3 linked regions of the Pelodiscus sinensis genome follow. The protein of the gene in region 2 interacts with the protein of the main gene of each other region in a pairwise test. Links are inferred from orthologs where the notes say so. Each region holds a gene or a part of one and is shown on either strand. Other genes may lie near its edges.

Region 1 (7,571 bases), on a different chromosome or scaffold from region 2:
TTTATAGGGATCTTATAAAATATCATCTACCATGTGGCTCCCTTAACCAAAAGCCCTCTTGTCTTTAATTTGTTAGACATATATTTGATCCTCTTCCCCTTCCATTATAGGACATTGTGAGACACCCTGATCTATACCACCTGTGATGCAGGAGGAGATTGGAGGATGGGGTCATATGACTGGTCACGTGCTGGAGGCAGCTCAGTCCAAAAGAAAATGGGGTTTGGTGTAAATCTGGGGGTGTAATGTTATCATATATCACGCTACCTCGTAAAACCGACACGGAAGCCTACCGGACAACAAATCACAGGTCAAAATTATGAGTTCTTCGTATTATGTGAACGCTCTTTTTAGCAAATATACGACGGGGGCTTCTCTTTTCCAAAATGCAGAGCCTACTTCTTGCTCCTTTGCAACCAACTCTCAGAGAAGCGGCTATGGACCAGGGGCTAGTGCTTTCACCTCCTCCATGCCTGGCTTGTACAATGTGAACAGTACCATATATCAAAACCCGTTCTCTTCCGGATACAGCCTGGGCTCAGATGCCTACAACCTGCATTGTTCCTCTTTTGATCAGAACATTCCCGTCCTCTGCAATGATCTAACCAAACCCAGCTGTGAGAAAGCGGAGGAAAGCAACCTGCACAGCCAGGCTGAGGCTAATTTCCGGATATACCCCTGGATGAGGTCTTCAGGTATGGGGAACGGAGAGGGCAAAGCGATGGCAGCCAGGCAAATGTGTAGCCGAAATTACTGTCAGCACAGCCTTTATGGTTTTAATTATAGCAGAGGCGCCATTGCGTAGAAAGCCCGTGGCATTGTATGTAAATGAGTATCATAAAACTTTTTATTGCTCAATTAATGGGTTCTAGCCTCGTAAATTTATTTAAGTCAATTTGCTGTGGAATTTTAGTATTAAGTTTATTTGTTCGGTTTGCTAGAGAAATATCGAGAGCTGGCTCTGTACTCGGTGAGCCCCCACGGGTCAGTGTTCCCCGCCCCCACCCCAACAAACGGCACAAACAATCATATTTACTGGGAAAGGCAGAGGAAAGAAGGGCTCTGAGGAGGGGAGAAAAGACAATTTCAGAGGGGGCAGGGGTGTTCTAGCTCCTTGTGAAATGTGGCATGTGTCTTGCCTGGGGATCAGGTTTTGTATACAAGTACAAGGGGGGAAAAAAAGATCTAGCAAATGTGAGGCTCTGCCCTTGCATCTATTGCTAGTATGTGGATCTCGTCTGAGGGGGGGAAAAACGCCTGGAATAAATAAATACATGCAAATATTCCAGACCCTGCTTTATTTCCCTTTGTGAACCACGAAAGTCTCCATGGAGGACGCTGTTGAAACGTAGCCGAGTGTAACGTTCATCCTTTAGAAGGCAACATTTTTTTGATCTTACACCGAAGTGGAGAGAAAAGGTTTATTCCAGATAAGTTAATTTGCCATGTTTGAGCCGGGCAGGCTGTCCGAGAGAAATGCCTTTGTTGGGAGGGGGGAGGGAATAAAGGAAGAGGATTTACTCCAGTTGCTTGATGACTGTTTGTAAATACCAACTTTCCATTTAACTGATTAGCGTCATGTTTCTGGCTAACTTCTGCGCCTGTTTGCCTGCTTTCAGGTCCAGATAGGAAGCGGGGTCGCCAGACGTACACTCGCTACCAGACACTGGAGCTGGAGAAGGAATTCCACTTCAACCGCTATCTGACTCGCCGGCGGAGAATAGAGATCGCCCATGCTCTGTGCCTCACTGAGAGGCAGATCAAAATCTGGTTCCAAAACCGGAGGATGAAATGGAAGAAAGAGCATAAAGAAGAGAGCGCCAGCACCCCAGCGACCAACGAGAACACGTCAGCAGCAGCGTCTGTGGAGAAAGTGGAGGAAGAGGAGGAAGAAGACGAGTAAAAGCCCCCATTTGATGAAGCAATCTCTAGTATTATGTATGCACGTGACAGTTGTAAAAGCTCTCTTGAAAAAAGACTCACTGTTTTATTTTCAGTATTCGGTTCCCCTTAATGAACATCTTGTAACCGAGCATTTTAGAACATGAAAAGGTCCCCTCCCTTGACTTGTCTTCCAGTCCCCACCTTCCCAGAGCTCCCCTATTTCCTGCCTAACCGAATTATAATCTCGCATAAAGTCATCCTGGTCATCTTATTTTCGTTTGCCCAAACCTAGGCTGTTTTGTTTGAGAACATTTGCTAGAGAGAACTACTCCTTGCACATGCAGGAAAAAAAATCACTTCCAGCGTAACTACCTGACTCAATTAGTCCCAATCAGTTGTGCAGGGGAAAGTGCATTAGGATCACGTAAAAAAACTACCTAACTTAGAATAAATAGTTCTGCACTTCCTGTTTGCTTTTATTTAAATAGGTCAAAACAAACAGACAGCATTAAACAGCAAGTGGAAAAAAAAATACCCTGCAAAAAATAATGAAACAGAAACCACTACATCCTGCAATTATTTGTACTACCTATCTTCCAGACTACCTATTTCTTGTTCCGCCTACCTATCTTCTACGCTATACTGTATTTTATTAATCAAAAGAAAATAACATACTAATGTGAATTGTAGAATGCTTTTAGTAACGTAAGTGTAGTCCTTTAAAAAGTACGCATCAATAGCTTTGGTATATAATTTGGTACCGAAAATGCTAAATATATTTAAATTGAAAAATAATATATTTATTCCAAAGCAATTATAAATGAAAACCATATGCTGCAGTATATCTTTCTTCTCAGTCCTTTACTATTCCGAGTGGAGAAGAAAACACATGCTAATATTGTACAAAGCGCTTTAATAGCTTCTATTGGCTTCTACCTTTTGAAGTACACTGTTACAGGCCGGTTTGTTTTCTAAGCTCATCCTACTTAAAATAGCGGAAACTGTTTCTTTAAAAACTGAATTAAGACGACTATGTTAGCGCCTCTCAAAAATCTTTTTGTCCTGATTTCGGAATGTGTTAATATGTAATACCGTGATTTTTCCTACAATAGCAAATACTGTATATTTAAACGATTTTTTTGTCATTGATATTGTCTTGAAATCATTTGTAAGATCACGTCATAAACTGAGAAGTCTGTAATTAAATTGGTATCTTGGTAGCATGATGTCTTGTTAAGATTTCTGTATAAATCCTTCATGGAGGTTTGGCTAAAGTTTATTCATAAATTGTACGTTACAATGTGTTTCGATGTGTTCATTGTGAACATTTGAATATACCGTGTAAGTATTGGCAGTGGAGGACAAAAATGTATGTTCACTCTCTTTGGAAGTGATACCGTGTTCAAATATCTCCCACAATAAATGTGTTTTATGTTACGCAGAAAATAAATATGCTTGTTGACAATGAATTGTGTTTCTTTATTAAGGAGCAGTTCAAAGGAAGCATAAAACTGACATGGCCAAGTAAAGAAATAAGATCAAATATGTAATTTTCATTTGCACTCAAAACCAAAAATTCATAGGCGATGGATTGACAGGACTCAGTCAGTTTCGCTAACTAGCGTTTTCACCTGGGTTGATTAATTAAGCAGAGAGCACTCCTGAAGCGAGAGGCTCCTATGTGCTTCGGTGAAATTTTAAAAGCACAGTAGACATGAAACCTGCCTATACGCCGGCGGAAATCCGCATTAGCGAAATAATACTTGATTGTAGACGCGAGCTGCAATGCGAAAGTTCCAAGTGTTGAAGCTGTAGTCAGGTGTGTGTTTGCGTGTCAGTCATAGTAGGGGACAATAGAAAAAAATATAAAATCAAAACATATAATTAAACCCACCCGTCTATATGTCAAAAAAAAAATCTCCCTGCCTATTATTAGAAAACGAAAAGCAGGTACCGCATTTTAATATCAAATTTTAAAAGATTATGCATGAAAGTCTCGTTGGAAGGAAGGAAAAAGATAGAGATAATGATTCCCTTCTCTGCAGACTAGTTCCCTACCTCTGCGGTGTGGCAAATGTTCTAATTGCAATTTTAATAGAATTAGATCAAACTCTAGGTCTTTTAAAACTCTAGGGCTGCCTCTCTGGTAAGATGGCGCCTCTCTAAGACCTGCCTCTTCTTAGTGATGAGGAAAAGGCCATAAATCCGTTGTTGTTTATGAAAATTTACAACTTTGCAATACAACTTTATGAGTTGCTCGGTTTTTCCATTGGTCGCTGTCGGTCATGTGGATGGTAACCGTGAACATGAACTTTTTTATAATTTCCCTTGCGAGAATAGAGCTGCATTCTTTAGCTCAGCTCTGTCCTGCTTCGGATCTCTCTGGCTTTCAATCCCCCATTTCATTTGTTCTTTGTAAGGCAATAGTGAACCAAGTGTATGGAGGTTCAGCATAAGCAGCCGCCTAGAACACAGACCCTGGATGGCAATTTCCAATTCCTCCGCTGGAAGGTGTGGCATATTGGATTCAAAGCACTGGAGTGGCAGATTTTCAACTTGCAACCTGGCTAATTTCCTGCTTCTTCTGGCACCAAAAGGAGGGCGATTCGTCTCCTGTGCAGCCAAAGCGACAGCTGTCAAAGTAGCAGGGGCTCTGCGAGCCAGAACCTAAAGGTGAGAAATGTATATAACAGTATCTTAAGCAGGGTAACATTATTTTAATATCCATATATGCATTTATGATACCCGCATATGTAATATATGTATGTATATATTATACATGGAATGATACCAGTTGAAGAATTACCAACCTATTATTTAGCTTGTTTAAATTTAGACAATGCATGCAACAATACAAGTGTTTATTATTTAGCAAGCCTGACGTGTAATTTTAATAAAGGAGATTTAAAAGATTGCTATCACATTCACCTTCGGATTATTTTTATTTTTATTATTATTTATTTATTATTTCTTTTATCACTCGGATTTATCAAATTAGGTGGAGATAATTTGCTCAAGAAAACTATTTTCATTTTGTTTCCCAGTATTTGCAAATTCATTCGTGTTAACGGCAATTTAAGATGTTTGGAAATGCACTTACAATTTCAGACAGAGACCAACCGGCATAATATCTTCTCGTTCCATAAAATGTCTAGGAGAGAGAGAGAGGGAGAAAGAGAGCGAGAGAGGGGGGATATTTCTGGAACAGTAGAATAGGAGAAATGTGTGCATAGGTTGCTTTAGCGGATAAATCACTTGTATACAGTATAATTGTGTCACGTCATTGTGTTGCGCGGAGCTTGAACAATATTACAGACATTTTTCTAAATACGTCGCTTCTGGAGTAATTCTATCTAAAGCTGGATTTTAAGCCATCCGTCCTACACCAGATGCTGAAATGGAGCTTTTTCGATGTCAGTGGAAGCAAATAAGAGGTACAAGGGTCGATTTAGTTATAGTTTTGAAAAATGGAACACGGGGCGGGTGGGGGGAAGGAAACCGAGCTGGGCACAAGGGGTTTTAGCACGGCATGGGCATCAGAACGTGGCTTTCACCGATCTGGCGTTGCTTCCTATGTTTGTGTGCTGGAAACCGCGGCATTGGTTCAGGGTTCTGCTTCTGTGATATCTCGATATTCATTACAGTAATTAAAAATGAGCTGCGAGCGCTTTAAATGCTAACGGCGGCGTTGTTTGTGTTCTCCGGGCTGATAAAGAATTACATTTGCATTGCATTGCAGTAGCTGCGTGGCTGCAACTGCAGTGAGTGTCGGGTTATTTATGGCGGAGCGACAGGCTCTCAGTGCTGCCACTGTGTGGCGGAAACAAGGCGATCCAAAGGCAGCAGCAAGCAAGAGGCGAATTGTCTGCAATCCTCTTGGAGAAATCCTAACAAAATTCGGCCTACCTAGGGACCCCAGTCACTCTCCACCCCGGACGGGCTAATTCTACAGGGCGGGGCTTCGTGTGGTTTTGGTTTGTTTTGTTTTTAAACTTGTGTTGTGCGTCGAAAGCAAAATGTCACCGTGTGAACTAGTTTGAAGGGGGGTAAGATCGAGGCTGCCCAATGACACTACTCCTACCAGTTCAATCTAAACAGTGGTTTGGAGGGCAAAAATTGTTTGGATTATAGGCTATCTGTTAAAGGTTGTTTTCTGTTGGCGCTATGAACATATGTAAGCGGATTCAGAAGGGGGCTTTTAAGTCGAAGTGGGTAACTGCTCCCTGCACCTGTACTCCAGCGTTGGTTGAATTATGGAGTCTGTGAAAGAAAGAAAGAAAGAAAGAAAGAAAGAAAGAAAGAAAGAAAGAAAGAAAGAAAGAAAAACAAAGAAAAACAATCCGCGTCTTGTTAAAGTTCTAATCAGGTTTTTTCAACTGCGTGCTGACATTTAAAAAAATAATTTAAAGCATACGGAAGGCGCAGGTCTGCTCACTTTGTTACAATTACAGAAGTGCAATTGGGAACTTTTAAATATTCACTTTTCCAAAATAAGTGTTCTAAATAGCTGCCATTAAACCTGTGTGACTCGGAGCACTCCCGCTTAAAGCTTTGTTGTGGCGGGGTGTTTTGATTTTGTTTTTGTTTTGTTTTTTGCATATTGAATATAACTAAAACCACGATGGCCATGCAAATTGTGTAGCTGCTGCTGAGACAAGCCTTAACCATAACAAACGTGTACTTTCATTTACTTTGCGGTTTACTACGGCGGAAGCAGCTACGAAATGTTTTCATTTACTATGCTGAGACATTAGAGATTCTGACTTTGGCTGGAACAAGAATCTCCGATTAAGATTCCTGTGCAAATCATTTCCTCTCCCTTAAAAAAAAAAAGAGATAATAACCAATGTGAAACCGACATAATAAAATTTAAATATTTATCAACCTCTCATTTTTTCCTGATGGATCCAATGCGTCTTCAAAGAAGAGCCCTCACGAGCGCAACTTTTTAAAAGAAGTATGGAGTTAGATTTTTGTGTATTCCCCGAATCTGATTTTCATGGCACGTTTCCGGTCTAGTCTCTGCTAAACATTTTCACATAAAAAAAAAACCCCTCAACAACCCCTCATTTGTATTCACCGTTTCTCCTCCGCACACATAGTGCAAATTCATCCGGATACGGATTCTTTTCAGTAGACACCCATAATGTTCAGCTGTTCTCTCAAAGCATATACTGTTTATTCGACCAGATGTGTATATAGATTAGCCCCGGAGCACAGAATAGGGGGGGAAATAAAAATGGAAGGTAATCAACATCTCAGTGTGAAAGTCCAACGGAGAACGCTAACAATACCAACTATTGTGGAGAGATGTTTTAACTCGCCACTGTTTTATAGGTACCGTAATCATCCTCCGGAAATGAGGAACGGAACCTTCCCACAACAGCACAACTCACGTCTCCAAAGCTGGTTTAGGTGTTATCGGAAACAGAACTGGTGCAAATGTCTCTTTAAACATCGGCTCTTCAGTCTGTGGTCATAGGCACGGATTAGGAATTTGGAAGGAAGCATCTTGTTATTTTTAGGAACTGCTGGAGTAGGCGGAATTTAAAGCATCTCTGTGAATTCCAGCCGCGCTGCTACCGCGTCTGCCCTGGGCCCAGGACTGTAGGTCCGCCCTGGGATCAGTGCCAAGTTGCACAGTACACGTTAAGATGTTTGTTACAACCGCAGTGGGTAATTAACTG
Region 2 (7,693 bases):
AAGGATTTTCAGGTGCATCACGTAATGCCATAGCACCCCAACTATTACATTAGATTTAGCTGAGGGTATTTTACTGTGGCTTTCCGTTCCCACTGTTAAATGTCTAGTTCTTCAACAGCAGATAAGCCCTCCAGTACCCCACCACATTCTCAATCCCTTACATATGGTGCTAATCTTGTCAGAAGGATTCTACTCACACTGACGGCAGGGGGCAATTTTGCCATTGAGTTCAAGTGGAGCAGCTCTGGGATCATTAGCTGAAATGGTCATGATCCCATTAGACTGCAAAACTGGAAACTCAGTGCCTTACCCCCTGTACTGTACCTCATGGCAGCAGCAGCCCCAGAGCTGTGTCCAATAAGGATAGTCTGCCCATCGCAGTGCAGTTCTGATTCCATGAATGGCAGCCAGATGTTCTCTCGAGCTGTAACTGATTTGCAGAGAAGAGATTCAATTGCTTTGCCTTTCCTTATCCACCCCCCTCCTCCCCACGCCCAGCTAGCATGCTCTGCATACAGCTCTCTGGGGGATTTTCTCTTTATTTAATTCTTAGTGAGTTTAGTGCTTGCAGAAGGGGTAAGGTTAGCAGCTATGAAGACCAAAGGCCTCTGTTTAGCCCCACTATGAGTTAAACATACACTGCAGCTGTGCCAGTTCCAACCTTGCTACCCCACCTAAAGTAACTCCACATGGACCTGGAGATGTCAGGTTTAAGGGTCAGTGTGAGGTTTAACCTTCCAAGGCTCAGTCTTTGGCCTCTCGAAAACCAGTTCTAATGGGGATGGTGTGGTGGACACCAGTCTGCTGCAAACTGAGCCGAGACAGACACTATTTGTCTAGAACTACTGGCAGCAGTAGCAACCTGGAGTGTGGCCTTCATAAATACTTCCCTGCTAAGCTACCCAGCTCATCCAGGGCCTGGTACAATCTCTGGGGCTTGCAGGACGCAGTCAAGCATGTACTGTCTGCACACGAGCAATGTTCTGCATCACAGTATGTGCACATAAAACATTCAGGAGCATCCAAACCCTCTCCCCAGCAAAGCATTTCAGCAGGCTGTGCGTCTCCCAGGGCACATCTACACAGCAGGCCTTAACTCAGAATAACCTACGCAAATTAAGCCACGTCAACTGCGTAGCTTATTTCAAAATAGCTTATTTCAAAATAGAGAGGATTTACACAGCGCTTATTTCAAAATAGAGCACTCTTCCTTTTGACTTCCCTAACTCCTTATACAATGAGGGTTACAGGAGTTGGAGTAAGAAGTCTTCCAGCTTTACAGTATTTTGAAATTATTTCGAAATAACTACCTGCTGTGTAGATGCGGACTAATTAAGTTATTTTAGTCCGTGTCTACGCAGCAGACAGTTATTTTGAAATAATGTTGCAGTGCAAACATATCCCATTTGGATTGGGGTGCGGGAACTCCCCCGGAATGAAGACAGCCACTGAGATAAAGCAGGCTCATATTCGTTTTCTGGAAATATTGCCAGTGGGATAATGCAAAATACAGGGAGAAGGTAAAACAGACTTACCTGGGTCAGGCATATTTCGAAGTAAACACTGGAAACCAGGTATCTGTGTGGAGAAGACCAATGATTGCATTATCAAAGGTTGTGCAGTCCCTTGGCAAGCAAACTGTTGCAGTGGTTACACTTGCTTTCCTCCAATGGGTCTTCAGGGTTATGTAGATGGGTCTTGCTACAGTGTTAGGTTGAAAGGTTAAATATTTGGGGTGCACTGGGCAGGGGGGAGGGAGTGAGTCCCAGGCACATGGAGAAGATTGAGGGTTTACTTGGTGCTTTGAAAATGTAAAGCACTGCAACTATATTGCACCAGGAGTTGAAAAAGACTGCTGATTTTACAAATATTTCTTGTTTGAATTACCAGCAATCTCTCCCACCCACTCCCAGGGGTCACCAATCACTGCACTCTAGTGTTTGCAAATCAGTCATCCCCTATTTCTGTGTTTTCTCCTCCATGTGATGTCCAGTGGCTGAACTTCATAACAGAAATACCCAAGTGGGAGTATAGAAAACCAAGTGAGAGTCTCTACAGAAAGCACTATCCACTGCAGCCTTCTTCATGCACCCTTCAAATCAGTGCTAGAGAGCTGTGAACAAGCCAGGAGGAGGAGGGGAGAATGTCGCATGACAAAGACAAGAATCACGGAAAAAGTTGCTTACATCTAATGCTGAACAAGCTTTCTTAGCACAAGAAAAACAAGAGTCTCCCTAAAGAGGCTCCCCCTCTCTGCTTCACTGCAGATGTTCTGGCAGGACCCTTCCGCAGCCCCCTCCTGCTTGCCAGCTGTGGATTTAAAGAAAGGGAAGGTATATGCTAAACCACACAAGAGGGAAGCAGAGGTTGGGGGCAGACAACTTCATTAGAAAAAGAAGCCAGGTGCCTGCCTGACTTAGGGTGTTCCAAATAGCTGGTGAGGTAGGCAGGAGCGTAAATAAACAGGTCAGATCAAACCTTTTGCCACTGCCATGTCTTACCTGCCCTAGTCTTTTCCATGCCCATCCGTACCAGTTGCATTTCTCTACATTGCTTGCCCCATTCCCAGGCACTATAACAGCTTTCATGGGAGGAAGCTGCACCTGGGACATGGCTCTGCAGCAGGAGGAGCGGAAACACAGTTTCAAGCCAAGCGGTGTTGGGTTGGCTGGGAGTGGAGGCAGAAAGGAGGCATCTTGGGAGTTGTAGTTTTCTTGGTAGAAAATGTCTCAGTGGGTAGCTGTGTTAGTCGGTAACGTTAAAAACAACAAGTAGTGCTGTGGCACCCTAGATCAGTGGTCCCCAATGTGGTGCCCGTGGGCACCATGGCGCCTGCTGGGCCATTTATGTGCTCCCGCTAAACAATTTGGGCTGGCCCCGCCCCGGGCACATGGCACATGTGCTGTGCCGGCCCCGGGCGCGTGGCGCATGGGTGGCCCCTGTCCCGGGGCCACGGCACATGTCGGTGCCGGCCCCGGGCTCGCAGTGCATGTGCGGCCCCGCCCCAGGGTGCACTGCCTGTGCATGGCCCCGCCCCCGGGCGCCCGGCAGCCCCAAAAGGTTGGGGACCACTGTCCTAGAGACTAACAAGAATGTAGTATCCTGAGCTTTGGTGGGCGAAACCCACTTCTTAAGATGATGATAGGAAATGATTCACAGCATGGTCCTTGCTGTCATTTGTTCCTCTCTGAGTCTAGAAGCCCCCAAAAAACAAGTGAATAAGAGACAAAAGCAACACATCCGAGACCTGAAAATCACAATACAAGCTAGATAGCGTCTTACCCACTACTTGTTAATTCTGTTGGCAGTGTTGTAGCCATGTTAGTCCCGGGATATTAAAGAAATAAGGTGCTGAGGTAACATCTTTCATTGCAACAACCTCTGTTGGGCAGAGAGACAAACTTTCAAGATCTACAGAGCTTTTCTTCCTGTTCATTTTGCTATTGGCATCTTTTTGTTGGGTGTTTGTACAGTGTCTAGCACTAGGTCCTGGTCAGTGATTGGGGCTCCACAGACAGGAACACAATGCAAATTACTATTAACTGTTACTTTGAGTAGATAATATTATCATGAGGGCCCTGAGACTAGAGGAACTTTGCATCCCCTGCTGCTTATTAGGGGGAAGAGATCTGTGCCCCTGCCTGCCCCCTTATGCACACCTCATCCAGCTGTGAGTTTTATCAGTTCTTAGCTAATGGAGAACACCTTATCAAGAGATGGCATCTGGTTTTACCAGCCTTAGCCTTTCATACACAAACAATAGGGGTGTTATTTAATGGCTGCGCAGCCGATTAACTATTTATCTCTAAGACAGTGAAAAATTCCCCTCGTCCATCAAGTCTTGAGTCTTCAAAACTGGATTCATCTTCTACTGACACTAGATGTGAGCTTGGCCCTTGGTCTTCCCGCAAACACCTACCATCACTGCGTGTGTTTTGTTGAATCTCACTTCTCCATCGTTTCATAGCCACCTCTGTCATGCTCCAAGCATCTATTGACGTGGTGGCCGAATATTTATTCCACCCCTCAGGTTTCCCATTTCTCTGCGTTCGTGGGTTTGTGCTGACTCTTTTTGGGGGCACCCCGGGGCCGCGTGGGCCCCCTGATCAGTGTGAGGACCTAGGAGCGGTTTGTGCGGTGCCAATGTGGATGCCCTGTGAGGATGCTTTGTTACAAGGCCTGGGGGACGCACGCTTTGATGCCAGACAAGGGCCTTTGAAGGTGCCGCTTGTTTTAACAGCGCCCGGCAAAGGAGGCGCGTCCCAGGACTGAGGTGCCTGTTGTGTGACTGCACTCTGGGGGGAGGCTGGTGTGTGTGTGCTGGGGGCGGGGAGGTGTGCACTGTTGCCAGGTGTTCCCCCCCCCTCAGGGAGCACAGGGCAGCTCCACCCCCACGCCCCTGCAGCCTCCTAGCAGGGCTGGCTGGAGGGCGGGGCCTGTCTGCATCAGCTGCCAGCGCCCGTGGAAGGGCGAGTCAGCGCAAACCCCGCAAGGGGCGGGGCGTGGAGCCCGCCCGCCATCGTGGCTGAGGGCGGAAGCCCGTATGGAGGCGCGGGTGCCCTTAGCCATCATGGCGACCGCCCTTGGGCGCCTGGGTGCCGCGCGCAGGCGCCGCCATGTTGGGGAAGGGCACGGTCGCGGCCGAGGCGCCCGCGCCGCCATCTCGCTTGCGGGCAGCCCCGCCGCTGAGCTGGCCTTTCCGGCGCGGGCGCTGCCGGGACACGGATCGTCGGGCGCTGCGAAGCGGAGCCGGAGGGGGCTTGTGGCGCCGCCAGCAGGTGGGTCTGGCGGGCGGGGTCCCCCGGGCCAGAAGGGGGGGGTCTGCCAGTGGGGGATGAGGGGGGGGGGTCTCTGGCCAGAAGGGGGGGTCTCTGGCCAGAAGGGGGGGTCTGCCAGTGGGGGATGAGGGGGGGGTCTCTCTGGCCAGAAGGGGGGGTCTGCCAGTGGGGGATGAGCTGAGGGGGGGGTCCCCCTGGCCAGAAGAGGGGGGTGTCTGCCAGTGGGGGATGAGGTGGGGGGGTCTCTCTGGCCAGAAGGGGGGGTCTGCCAGTGGGGGATGAGGGGGGGTCCCCCTGGCCAGAAGAGGGGGTTTGCCAGTGGGGGATGAGGGGGGGTCCCCCTGGCCAGAAGGGGGGGGTCTGCCAGTGGGGGATGAGGGGGGGGTCCCCCTGGCCAGAAGAGGGGGTCTGCCAGTGGGGGATGAGGGGGGGTCCCCCTGGCCAGAAGGGGGGGGGTGTCTGCCAGTGGGGGATGGGGGGGTCCCCCTGGCCAGAAGAAGGGGGGTCTGCCAGTGGGGGATGAGCTGAGGGGGGGGTCCCCCTGGCCAGAAGGGGGGGGTCTGCCAGTGGGGGATGAGGTGGGGGGGTCCCCCTGGCCAGAAGAAGTGGGGGATGAGCTGAGGGGGGGGGGTCTCTCTGGCCAGAAGGGGGGGTCTGCCAGTGGGGGATGAGCTGAGGGGGGGGGTGTCTCTGGCCAGAAGGGGGGGTCTGCCAGTGGGGGATGAGCTGAGGGGGGTCCCCCTGGCCAGAAGGGGGAGTCCGTCGGGGGGATGGGGTGAGGGGATCTCCTGGTGAGAAGAGGGGCTCCTCCCCATTGAAGGTGGGGGTCACTTTCCCCAGGCCACACGAGGAGGGGAAAGGACCCTGCTGTTGATGTCGGGGTGCTCTTCTCCAGGGTCTGTAGCCGAGCGGGGCCGCTACCTGTCCAGGTTCCCCAGTGTTGTCTGGTTTTGGGGGTCACTGTCCTGGGAGTCTCTCTGGGTGTTTGGTGGGCGCTGCCAGCTGCCCAGCGTGGTGAGGAAAGATCATCCTGAATATTGTGGGGGTTTTGTATCTCGAAGGATGTGGCAACCTGAGCGCTCAGAGAATGGGGTGAGGATTCCCCAGGCCACTGTTCTGGGCAGTGAAAGAGGGACGAGGACCCCCCCCATCACTGATTCCTCCATTCTGGGTGGGGTTGGTGTGTGAGGCCACCATGTTGCTATTGGAGGGGGTGGAGGAGTTTGGCATTGGTGTGAGGGTTCCCATATCACTGGTCAAAGTGTGGAGCGGTGTTATATTTTTTGTGTAGTTTTTTTGGTAAATCTTGACTCGCTTTCACAGAGGAAACAGCTACAATTTCTCCTTTTTTAAAAACTGTTTGCCCTGATCATCTCGCTCTCAAGGTAACACCTACAGCCTAACAAACATCACAGAAATGTTCTGAGAACATCTCGGATACAGGCCACATTTAAAACTAAAGTGGCAAGGCGTTCCTTCACTAAACCAGGATAAGCTAACTGTTACGTCAGGAGTAGCCAATTCTGTCAGGTCCTGTTTTGCGATGCTTCCCGTTTGACTCACAGGCTCTGCTCTGCACAGAAACCCTGAGGAAGGAGAGTATCGAGGGAGGATGTGGGAGGGAGCTCTGAACCTGAGGGATGGGGGTTTGAGCAATGAGTGCTGTTTAGTGGGTTTGAGGATGTCCATGCATGCTGTAGGTGCCGCACCAGATAACAATATCAGTTAGTGTTTGCAGCCTATGTTGCGGACAAGTTCAAACAGCTCTGGACAGGGGTGCTGGCACAATTTCTATAGGGTCCTTTGAACCAAACTGTAAATCCTGAATATAATGGAAACTGCTTCAAGTCAGCAGCACCAGCGTCTATGGCTCTGGACCAAACTTTCTGCCTCAGCAAAAGCCGAATTAGTTCTCAGGAGAAAGGGGGGCATGCAAATGTGTCTTTGTCTCTCTCTGTCTCTGGAATTTAGTCCTGGAAGCTTCTTAGAGTTGTGAAGATGTGGGAGTAGCACAGACAAATCACTGTAGATCAGATCTATTTCTTTGCCAACTGGACACAACCATTGGGGTGGGTTATGGACCGTGTTGAGAGCTAATTGTAAATGTTTCCTTTCTGTGGGACACAGTGCTAGTTTTGCATAAAAAAGCATCTGCTGCTCCGCCCTCAACTCAAAAAGACACCTGATGCTGACTATTTCTTACATATCTTTCTCCTATGTCTGATGAAGTGGGTTATGCCCTAATCAATATGTTAGTCTCTAAGATGCCACAGGATTCCTCATTGTGTCTTACATGGTTAACGCTCTGAGGAAGAGTGTCTATAGCAGTGGTTTTCATTTGCAGAACCCTAAAAAATGTCAAGTGGATATGGACCCCTTTGGAAACTCATAATCTGCAAAACCCTAGGAGTCTGTGTTGACAGGTTGAAAACCACTGAAATAGAGGATAGTCATGAAACAGTAGCAGTACGTGCGTTCTTCAGTCTCTTTGACCTCCATCAGGTCTGTTTTGCATTGGGTGTAACATAGAAACTGCATTAGTGGTCTTGGTTGATTGTCTCCTGTTGGTGGATAGTGATTAAGTCAAATTCTTTTTGCTCTCTAACTATCCTCAATGCCATTGACAAATCACGTGAACATGGATTCTAACAGAGACTGATATGGTCTTGCCTTGAGCACTTCTGTGTTTTCTTTTCTGAGAGGTCTCAAGGATTTTGGGTAGTTTGTGTCCCGAATATGATCTCGTGTGGGGTTCCCAGGGTTTCATCTTGTCATGTCTGGTTCAGTGTGTATGTGGTGCTGCTACAGCAGCGAGGGGCAACCTAGGCTCATGAGTGACCCTCCTTCATCTCTGAGGGCTGCAGGATTGTTGTAACCAAAATGGTTTCCCGGGATAGGGTAGTTTTGCTAACTGC
Region 3 (7,488 bases), on a different chromosome or scaffold from region 2:
ACTAGAGAGAGGCAGCAAGGGTGTGGGGGGAGGAGAGCAGGAGCCAATGCTGGGGAGAGCCAGACGAAAAGCTGGTTTCCCCCAGTAGCAACTCTGCGGGGGGGGGGGGAGGAGGTGGCCCTGGTGGCTCTTAATACATTTAAAAGGCAGAACCGCAGCAGGATTCTCCCCAGGGCTGGAAGCTAACCAGGCTGTAGCACTGCAGTTTCCCCCCTTTATCAACTAATCAAGTAGTCAATGGAAATACCATTGATTACTCAATCAGCTGATTAAATGCAATTTAACCACCCTATCTCAAACAGAAGCAGTGAAGGGGGCTGACAGGAGCTGGTGCTTGGTGGGAGCCTCCTGCCGTCCCTCTGAGCTGCTGCCTATAGCAGAGGCAGCGCGGGGGGGGCAGGGACGGCTGCCACTGAAAGCCTTTGTCCACGGAGGGCCCAAGCTCATTGGTTAACTGTGTACTTGGCTGCACAGTCACATGCCTAATTAATACTCTCCTGATTAAGCAGCTGTTGTCACCAAACACCATTTATTTTTAGACCAATGAACTCCTAGGAAGCATCCCCAAATGAGAAGCTATCCTGAATACATGCATCCTAATTAAGGGATGTATAGGTGCAAATATAAATAATACTCATATCAACTGTAGTCCTTTTCATCTTCTAAGACTATGGCTACACTAGGGAACTTACAGTGGTGCCTCAATGCAGCTGTGCCATGTTGACCACAGAAGTTTCCAGCCAATATAGTGCTGTCCAATCAGCGCTTAGGTCAGTATAATTTTTGTCACTTAAAGGTGGCTTTATTTGTAAGTTGTAGTATAGACATAGCCTAAATCTGTTACAGATATTAAATCAGTATTTCCTTGGCTACGTCTACACTGGCCCCTTTTCTGGAAGGGGCATGTTAATTTCAGCTATCGCAATAGGGAAATCCGCGGGGGATTTAAATATCCCCCGCGGCATTTAAATAAAAATGTCCGCCGCTTTTTTTCCCGGCTTTTAGAAAAGCCGGAAAAGAGCGTCTACACTGGCCCCGATCCTCCGGAAAAAGCGCCCTTTTCCGGAGGATCTTATTCAAGTACTTATTCAAGTACTTCAAGTACTTTGAAGTAGGAATAAGATCCTCCGGAAAAGGGCGCTTTTTCCGGAGGATCGGGGCCAGTGTAGACGCTCTTTTCCGGCTTTTCTAAAAGCCGGAAAAAAAGCGGCGGACATTTTTATTTAAATGCCGCGGGGGATATTTAAATCCCCCGCGGATTTCCCTATTGCGATAGCTGAAATTAACATGCCCCTTCCGGAAAAGGGGCCAGTGTAGACGTAGCCCCTATGTTAGATGGACATCCAAGTTAGTTTTGGGGAAGGAGTGTATGGGGAGATGAAAGAATTGGTGCTGCTAGGGAAAGATAAAGGACCTCAGACTCATACCACCCTATGCATATTGTTTCATCTTCTAATAAAGTGGTTCATTAAAATCCATTATATTTTGACAACCTCGTTAAAGGCCAGAAAACGGAAACAGCTCACAAGCACTGGGGTAAGGACTTAAGCTCTGAAACACTCTTTTGGGCCCCTGTGGCACTCAGCTCAACCTTGGGCAAGGCAGAAAAGATCAGAACATGCTGTGATGACCATTTGCTGTTGACTTCTTCAACTAACGATCAGCTATTATCATTCTGACTAATTTATCTCGACAAAGCGCCTGAAGCAGCTAAATAAATAATGTTAGTTCCACTTGACATAAGGGGATTGATCCCAGTTATTTTTAATGAAGATAGCCAGGCCCCTCAGGTGACAGAGCCTTGCTGATGTAAATCAAGTGCCACGTGGGCACAGGAAATCATGCACACAGAGTCAATAGTAGGAATGAACGGTAACTGACTTGCCCCAAACCCTAGGGAGTTAAGTCAAAATGACAACTTTTCAGTTTTTCTAGACCAGCTCTCTTCTCAGGCTCCTAGCAAGGATGTCCATGATCAGACTACCTCAAGGCACAACTGTTTTCTAAACAGCTATTTGCTGGACTGCAAGAGTGTCACATTTAATCACTAGCACTGCACCAACAAAACCTCAGATACCAGCAAGCAGGCAGCAAATGTCAGACAGAAGAGCTGGTCCCTACCCCAAGGAGTGAGCGACCTAGAGCAGAGACCCCACAGCACAAAATGGTTACTGAACCAGGAGAGCAGCCTTCGGGGGATGTATTAACCCCTCCCTATTTAAACCCACAGAAGCCGCCCAGCGCTGGGAAGTAGGTCACTGGGTTACACGCCAGCAGGACAAACAAGGCTGCCCTGTGTAGAGCGGCGGGGTCTGCAGTGACCGGCCCGCAGAGGCCCAGCTCGCATCCGTTTGGTTCCCAGAGACTCCTGCCCCCGCGCTGCGGAAGAGAGAAGAAAACTCTCGACAACACTGGAACCCAAGAGCGAACCCACCTCGGCAGCCCCGGGCCGGAGCCGCTGCAGCTCCCGGAAGCGGGACGGTCTCTGGGGGCCCTGCTCACACTAAGCAGCAGCATCGATTGTCTGAGCCCCCTGCGCCCCGCCCCGCCCCGCCCCTACCGGCCGTAAAACAAACCTCCCCAACGGCAGCAACGGGCCGCCGCGCTCCGTGAGTCACCCCGCAGCCGCCTCTGACGTGGTCGCAGAAGCTCCGCCCTCAGGCCCCGCGCGGACACAACCTCAGGGGGGGGGGGGGGGAATGAGCGCGAGCGGGACCTGGCCCACCCTGGCAAGGAAGGGGGCGCAGACCCAGCAGAGCGCCTACAGCTCCCAAGAGGCTTGGCGGCCCCGCACATGCGCGATACCGCCCGCCACCAGTGTGGGCTGCCACGTCTCTGCCCCGCTGGCGGCTCTGCGCATGCGCCTGGGGCCAGGCCGCTGTCGCGCGTGCCGCCACGTCTGGCGGCTGCATCTGACACCTCCATTCCCTTCCCAACCTGGCTGCGGGTTCCTCTTTGGCGGGACCTTGGGGCGACGCTTCCGTGGCGCTGCTTTCCCGCGCCGCCGCTCGCTCCCCGCATCCAAAATGGCCGCGCCTGGGCGCGAGACGCCACCTCCTGCCACGTTCGCCTGTGGCGGGCGGGGCCGGCTGCGGCGCTGGAGCGGGGCGGGGCGGGGTCCCGGCCACCTACCACAGGACTCTTCATGTGCCGCCCGCAGCCTGGCCGAGCTGTGCCTCCTGCTCCTCGGCCGGCTCAGACCCCTGCCGGGCGGAGCCCGTCACTGCAGCCACCGCCAGCCCTGCGCGGCCCCCTTCGCAAACCCTTGTCCCTGCCCCCCCCCCCCCCCAGACACCACCAGCAAGGCCGGATGTGAACACGTGCAAAGGAGCAAGTGGGTGTAATACAAGGAGGCGCCATTGCACCTGTTCATATCAGCCTTTCTTGTGATGCCTCTACTGGGATGAAAGTATGGAAAAGAGAGGAGGCAGGCAGGCAGTGACATGCTGGTAGACATGGTGCCAATTCATGCCAAAGGCTGCACTTGACAACTGGGGTTGGCAAGCATCTGGGCTCCATCTACACTGGCAGCTTCTTGCGCAAGAAGGCTGCGTCTAGACTGGCATGATTTTGCGCAAAAGCGGCCACTTTTGCGCAAAATCTTGCCGCTTGTCTACACCGGCAGCGAGTATTTAAGCAAGAACACTAACTTTGTAATGTACAAAAGCAGTGGTTCTTGCGCAAATACTCTGATACTCCTGCTCAGGGATAAGCCCTCTTGCGCAAGAGGACCAGTGTAGACAGCAACGTTAATTTCTTGCACAAGAAAGCCCGTTGGCTAAAATGGCCATCGGAGCCTTCTTACTCAAGAGAGCGTCTACACTGGCACGGATGCTTTTGCGCAAAAGCAAATCTTTTGTGCAAAGGCACATGCCAGTATAAACGCTCTCTTGCACAAATACTTTTAACGGAAAAAGTTTTCAGTTAAAAGTATTTACGCAAAATCATGCCAGTCTAGATGCAGCCAAACTGTTTTACGGAAGAGTTCTTGCACAAAAACTCTTCCACAAAAGCACAGCTACACTGGAATGTGCTTTTGCGCAAGAGATGTGCTTTTGTACAAGAGCATCCATTGCAATGTGGATTCTGTCTTGCGCAAGAAAGCTCTGATGGCCATTTTAACCATAGAGGCTTCTTGCGCAAGAAATTCATGTTGCCTGTCTACACAGCCCTCTTGTGAAAAAGCTCTTGCACAAGGGGAATCCAGTAGATACAGTATACTTAGATTTTCAGAAAGCCTTTGACAAGGTCCCTCACCAAAGGCTCTTGTGTAAATTACATTGCCATGGGATAAGAGGGAAGGTCCTTTCTTGGACTGAGTACTGGTTAAAAGACAGGAAACAAAGGGTAGGAATAAATGGTAAATTTTCAGATTGGAGAGGGGTAACTAGTGGTGTCCCCCAAGGGTCAGTCCTGGGACCAATCCTTTTCAACTTATTCATAAATGATCTGGAGAAAGGGGTAAGCAGTGAGGTAGTAAAGTTTGCGGATGAAACCAAACTGTTTAGAATAGTCAAGACAGCAGCAGACTGTGAGGGACTCCAAAAAGATCTCACCAAACTGAATGATTGGGCAACAAAATGGCAAATGAAATTTAACGTGGATAAGTGTAAAGTAATGCACATCGGGAAAAATAACCCCAACTATACGTACAGCATGATGGGGGCTAATTTGGCTATGACAAATCAGGAAAGAGATCTTGGAGTTATCGTGGATAGTTCTCTGAAAACTTTCACACAGTGTGCAGCGGCGGTCAAAAAGGCAAATAGGATGCTAGGAATTATTAAGAAAGGGATAGAAAATAAGACACAGAATATCTTACTGCCCCTGTATAAAACTATGGTACGCCCACATCTTTAATACCGTGTACAGACATGGTCTCCTCACCTCAAAAAAGATATTTTGGCCTTGGAAAGGGTTCAGAAAAGGGCAACTAAAATGATTAGGGGTTTGGAACGGGTCCTATATGAAGAGAGGTTAAAGCGACTGGGACTTTTCAGTTTAGAAAAGAGGAGACTTAGGGGGAATATGATAGAGGTATATAAAATCCTGAATGGTGTGGAGAGAGTGAATAAAGAAAAGTTACTTATTAGTTCCCATAATAGAAGAACTAGAGGACACCAAATGAAATTAATGGGTAGCAGGTTTAAAACTAATAAAAGAAAGTTCTTCTTCACACAGCGTGTAGTCAACCTGTGGAACTCCTTGCCAGAGGAGGCTGTGAAGGCTAGGACTATAACAGAGTTTAAAGAGAAGCTAGATAATTTCATGGAGGTTAGGTCCATAAAAGGCTATTAGCCAGGGGATAGAAATGGTGTCCCTTGCCTCTGTTTGTCAGAGGCTGGAGAAGGATGGCAGGAGACAGATCGCTGATCATTGTCTTCGGTCCACCTTCTCTGGGGCACCTGATGCTGGCCACTGTCAGCAGACAGGCTACTGGGCTGGATAGACCTTTGGTCTGACCCAGTACGGCCGTTCTTATGTTCTTATTCCTCCTGGGGAGAGGAATAACTCTTCCGGAAGAAGCCCTGTTTTACAACGCTATACTGTAAACTTACTTGCGCAAGAACGCATGTGTTGTGTAGACAGCAGGCAAGTTTTTGCTCAAGAATGGCTGTTCTTGCAAGATGCCGCCAATGTAGACGTAGCCCAGCTGGTGTTCACGCAGAATGCTTGGTGTCAGTCCCCGTAATACACTAGGTTCGAAGGGATGCCGGAAAGGATGAGACCACAACTGGGGGTTTCAAAAAGCACAAACTGATTTTATTCTGATGGCGCCAGACAATCATCAGAACAAAAATTAAACAGATTGCCAGACAACACAAAACAATTCCCTGAGGCTTTTCTAAATCACAATAATTCCCAATAACTGCCCAGGGGTTAGGAACAGTTGAATTAACACTGGTATTATCCATAGGGCTGATTATTTACACAACTTTATACAAGGAAACAGTAAAAAACCTAAACCACAACTATTTATAAACTAACTTAGTAACTTTTTAGCCACTGTCACTTGGCAAGCAATAAGGACAACTAAAAAATCAATTAGGATAGGGATGATTGGGGGGGGGGGGGGTGTTATACCAGTTCTGGAGACAGCAGGAACACAAGTATCGGTCACACGCTCATAAACTGTCTCCACTCGGGTCGACCAACTCGGAGTACGCTCAGTAAGACTCAAGAGCGGGGGGTGCAAGGCGTCTGGGTGATCAGGCCAGGCGTTCACTCAATGCGAATCCCCAGTGAGAGAGGGGCTGCCTGCCTGTTTTATTGCCTGTGAACTTATCACCCCATAGGTTGGTTTTTGCTGCAGTGGGTGGAGTAGCAGGCCTGAGCACCAGTCAGCCCATTAGCTGATCTGTTACTGCAATGGGTGGAGCGAGCAGGGGAAGATTATTAATTTACATGCCCTTATATGGAAAACACTCCACCTCACAGACAGAGCCCCCTATACCAGCCTCAGAGGTATTACAGGCTATGGCTCCCTGCGACGGGCAGCCATTTCTGATGTTCTGCCTCGGACACTTGGCAGAAAAGGGACTTGGGTATCTGCTCACCACCAGCAAAAAGTTGGTAGCGCAGCAGGGCTCAGGCATGGTCCCTCCTTGACCTGGTTCCCCAGGGCTCCTGGGACTGGTTGGCCTGTCTTGGAAACTAATGGAGACTGTATCTCAGTTGTGTATATGTTCAAATCTTGTAAATGATGTTTTGTTAATAAACTTTTACCTATTTTGTTATAATAGTTCTTTGGGGCTGGGAATAACCCAAATGTTGATCTCAGAAGGGTAGTCATGTTGGTCTGTAACTTTAAAATAACTAGTAGTCCTGTGGCACGTTCAAGTGTGTCTACACTATACCATAACTCAAAATATGATAAGCACTTATAGCTATGCAAATTGCACATCTTATTTTGATGCTATTTTGAAATAGCTTATTTTGTGCCAAATTTCGAAATAAAGCGCTATTCCGAAATGTCCCTTACTCCTCGTAGAATGAGGTTTACAGGGATGTCAGAATAGCAAGCCCAAAATAACGGGCTTGCTGTGAAGACATGGGATTGCTATTTCAGAATACTCGGGTATCCCGAAATAGCATTGCAGTGTAGACGTAGCCTTAGAGATTAACCAAAATATATAGAATCATTAGCTTTTGGGGCAAAACTCAAATACTGATGAGATTTTTTTTTCTGTAAAGGATTACTATCACCAAGGTAAGACTGCCTGGGTGGCCACATAGACCCAATATGTACCCAAAGGGATGCCACATGACTTTGTTAACGCTGTTATAGTGCTTTAGAAGTTCTCACTTGTTACTGGACTGGAGAAATTAATTATAGAGTATACAACTAGTTTGAGGGGTTTTTTTTTCTGAAAGAAGAGGCCTCCAGGAAAAAGCACAGGTGCCCTGGTGGCCACTCCATCCATAGTAATAACAAATGCGAGATAGCGTCCATATTGACTGGATGCTATCTTTCGAAAAAGCAGATCG

The links.
Region 1: the proteins of SEC23B (region 2) and HOXA3 interact in binary tests that used the Homo sapiens proteins (3 or more experiments, as listed by UniProt). The two-hybrid records come from large-scale screens. The link is inferred for Pelodiscus sinensis from reciprocal best matches to the Homo sapiens genes SEC23B and HOXA3.
Region 3: the proteins of SEC23B (region 2) and PRRC1 interact in binary tests that used the Homo sapiens proteins (3 or more experiments, as listed by UniProt). The two-hybrid records come from large-scale screens. The link is inferred for Pelodiscus sinensis from reciprocal best matches to the Homo sapiens genes SEC23B and PRRC1.

The regions. Positions count from the first base shown.
Region 1 is NC_134712.1:196,583,212-196,590,782, forward strand, and holds the start of HOXA3 (homeobox protein Hox-A3), read left to right. Parts: upstream 1-4,419; 5' UTR 4,420-4,557; intron 4,558-7,274; exon of another isoform or gene 7,275-7,571. Other genes in the region: HOXA7 (homeobox protein Hox-A7), read left to right, coding at 320-695, 1,620-1,903. UniProt on the Homo sapiens protein: Sequence-specific transcription factor which is part of a developmental regulatory system that provides cells with specific positional identities on the anterior-posterior axis.
Region 2 is NC_134713.1:193,975,791-193,983,483, forward strand, and holds the start of SEC23B (protein transport protein Sec23B), read left to right. Parts: upstream 1-4,621; 5' UTR 4,622-4,778; intron 4,779-7,693. Other genes in the region: serine hydrolase RBBP9, read right to left, coding at 325-430, 1,536-1,578, 2,502-2,612. UniProt on the Homo sapiens protein: Component of the coat protein complex II (COPII) which promotes the formation of transport vesicles from the endoplasmic reticulum (ER).
Region 3 is NC_134716.1:51,694,054-51,701,541, forward strand, and holds the start of PRRC1 (protein PRRC1), read right to left. Parts: upstream 3,153-7,488; 5' UTR 3,133-3,152; intron 3,096-3,132; exon of another isoform or gene 2,938-3,095; intron 2,820-2,937; exon of another isoform or gene 2,435-2,819; intron 1-2,434. UniProt on the Homo sapiens protein: May act as a regulator of the protein kinase A (PKA) activity during embryonic development.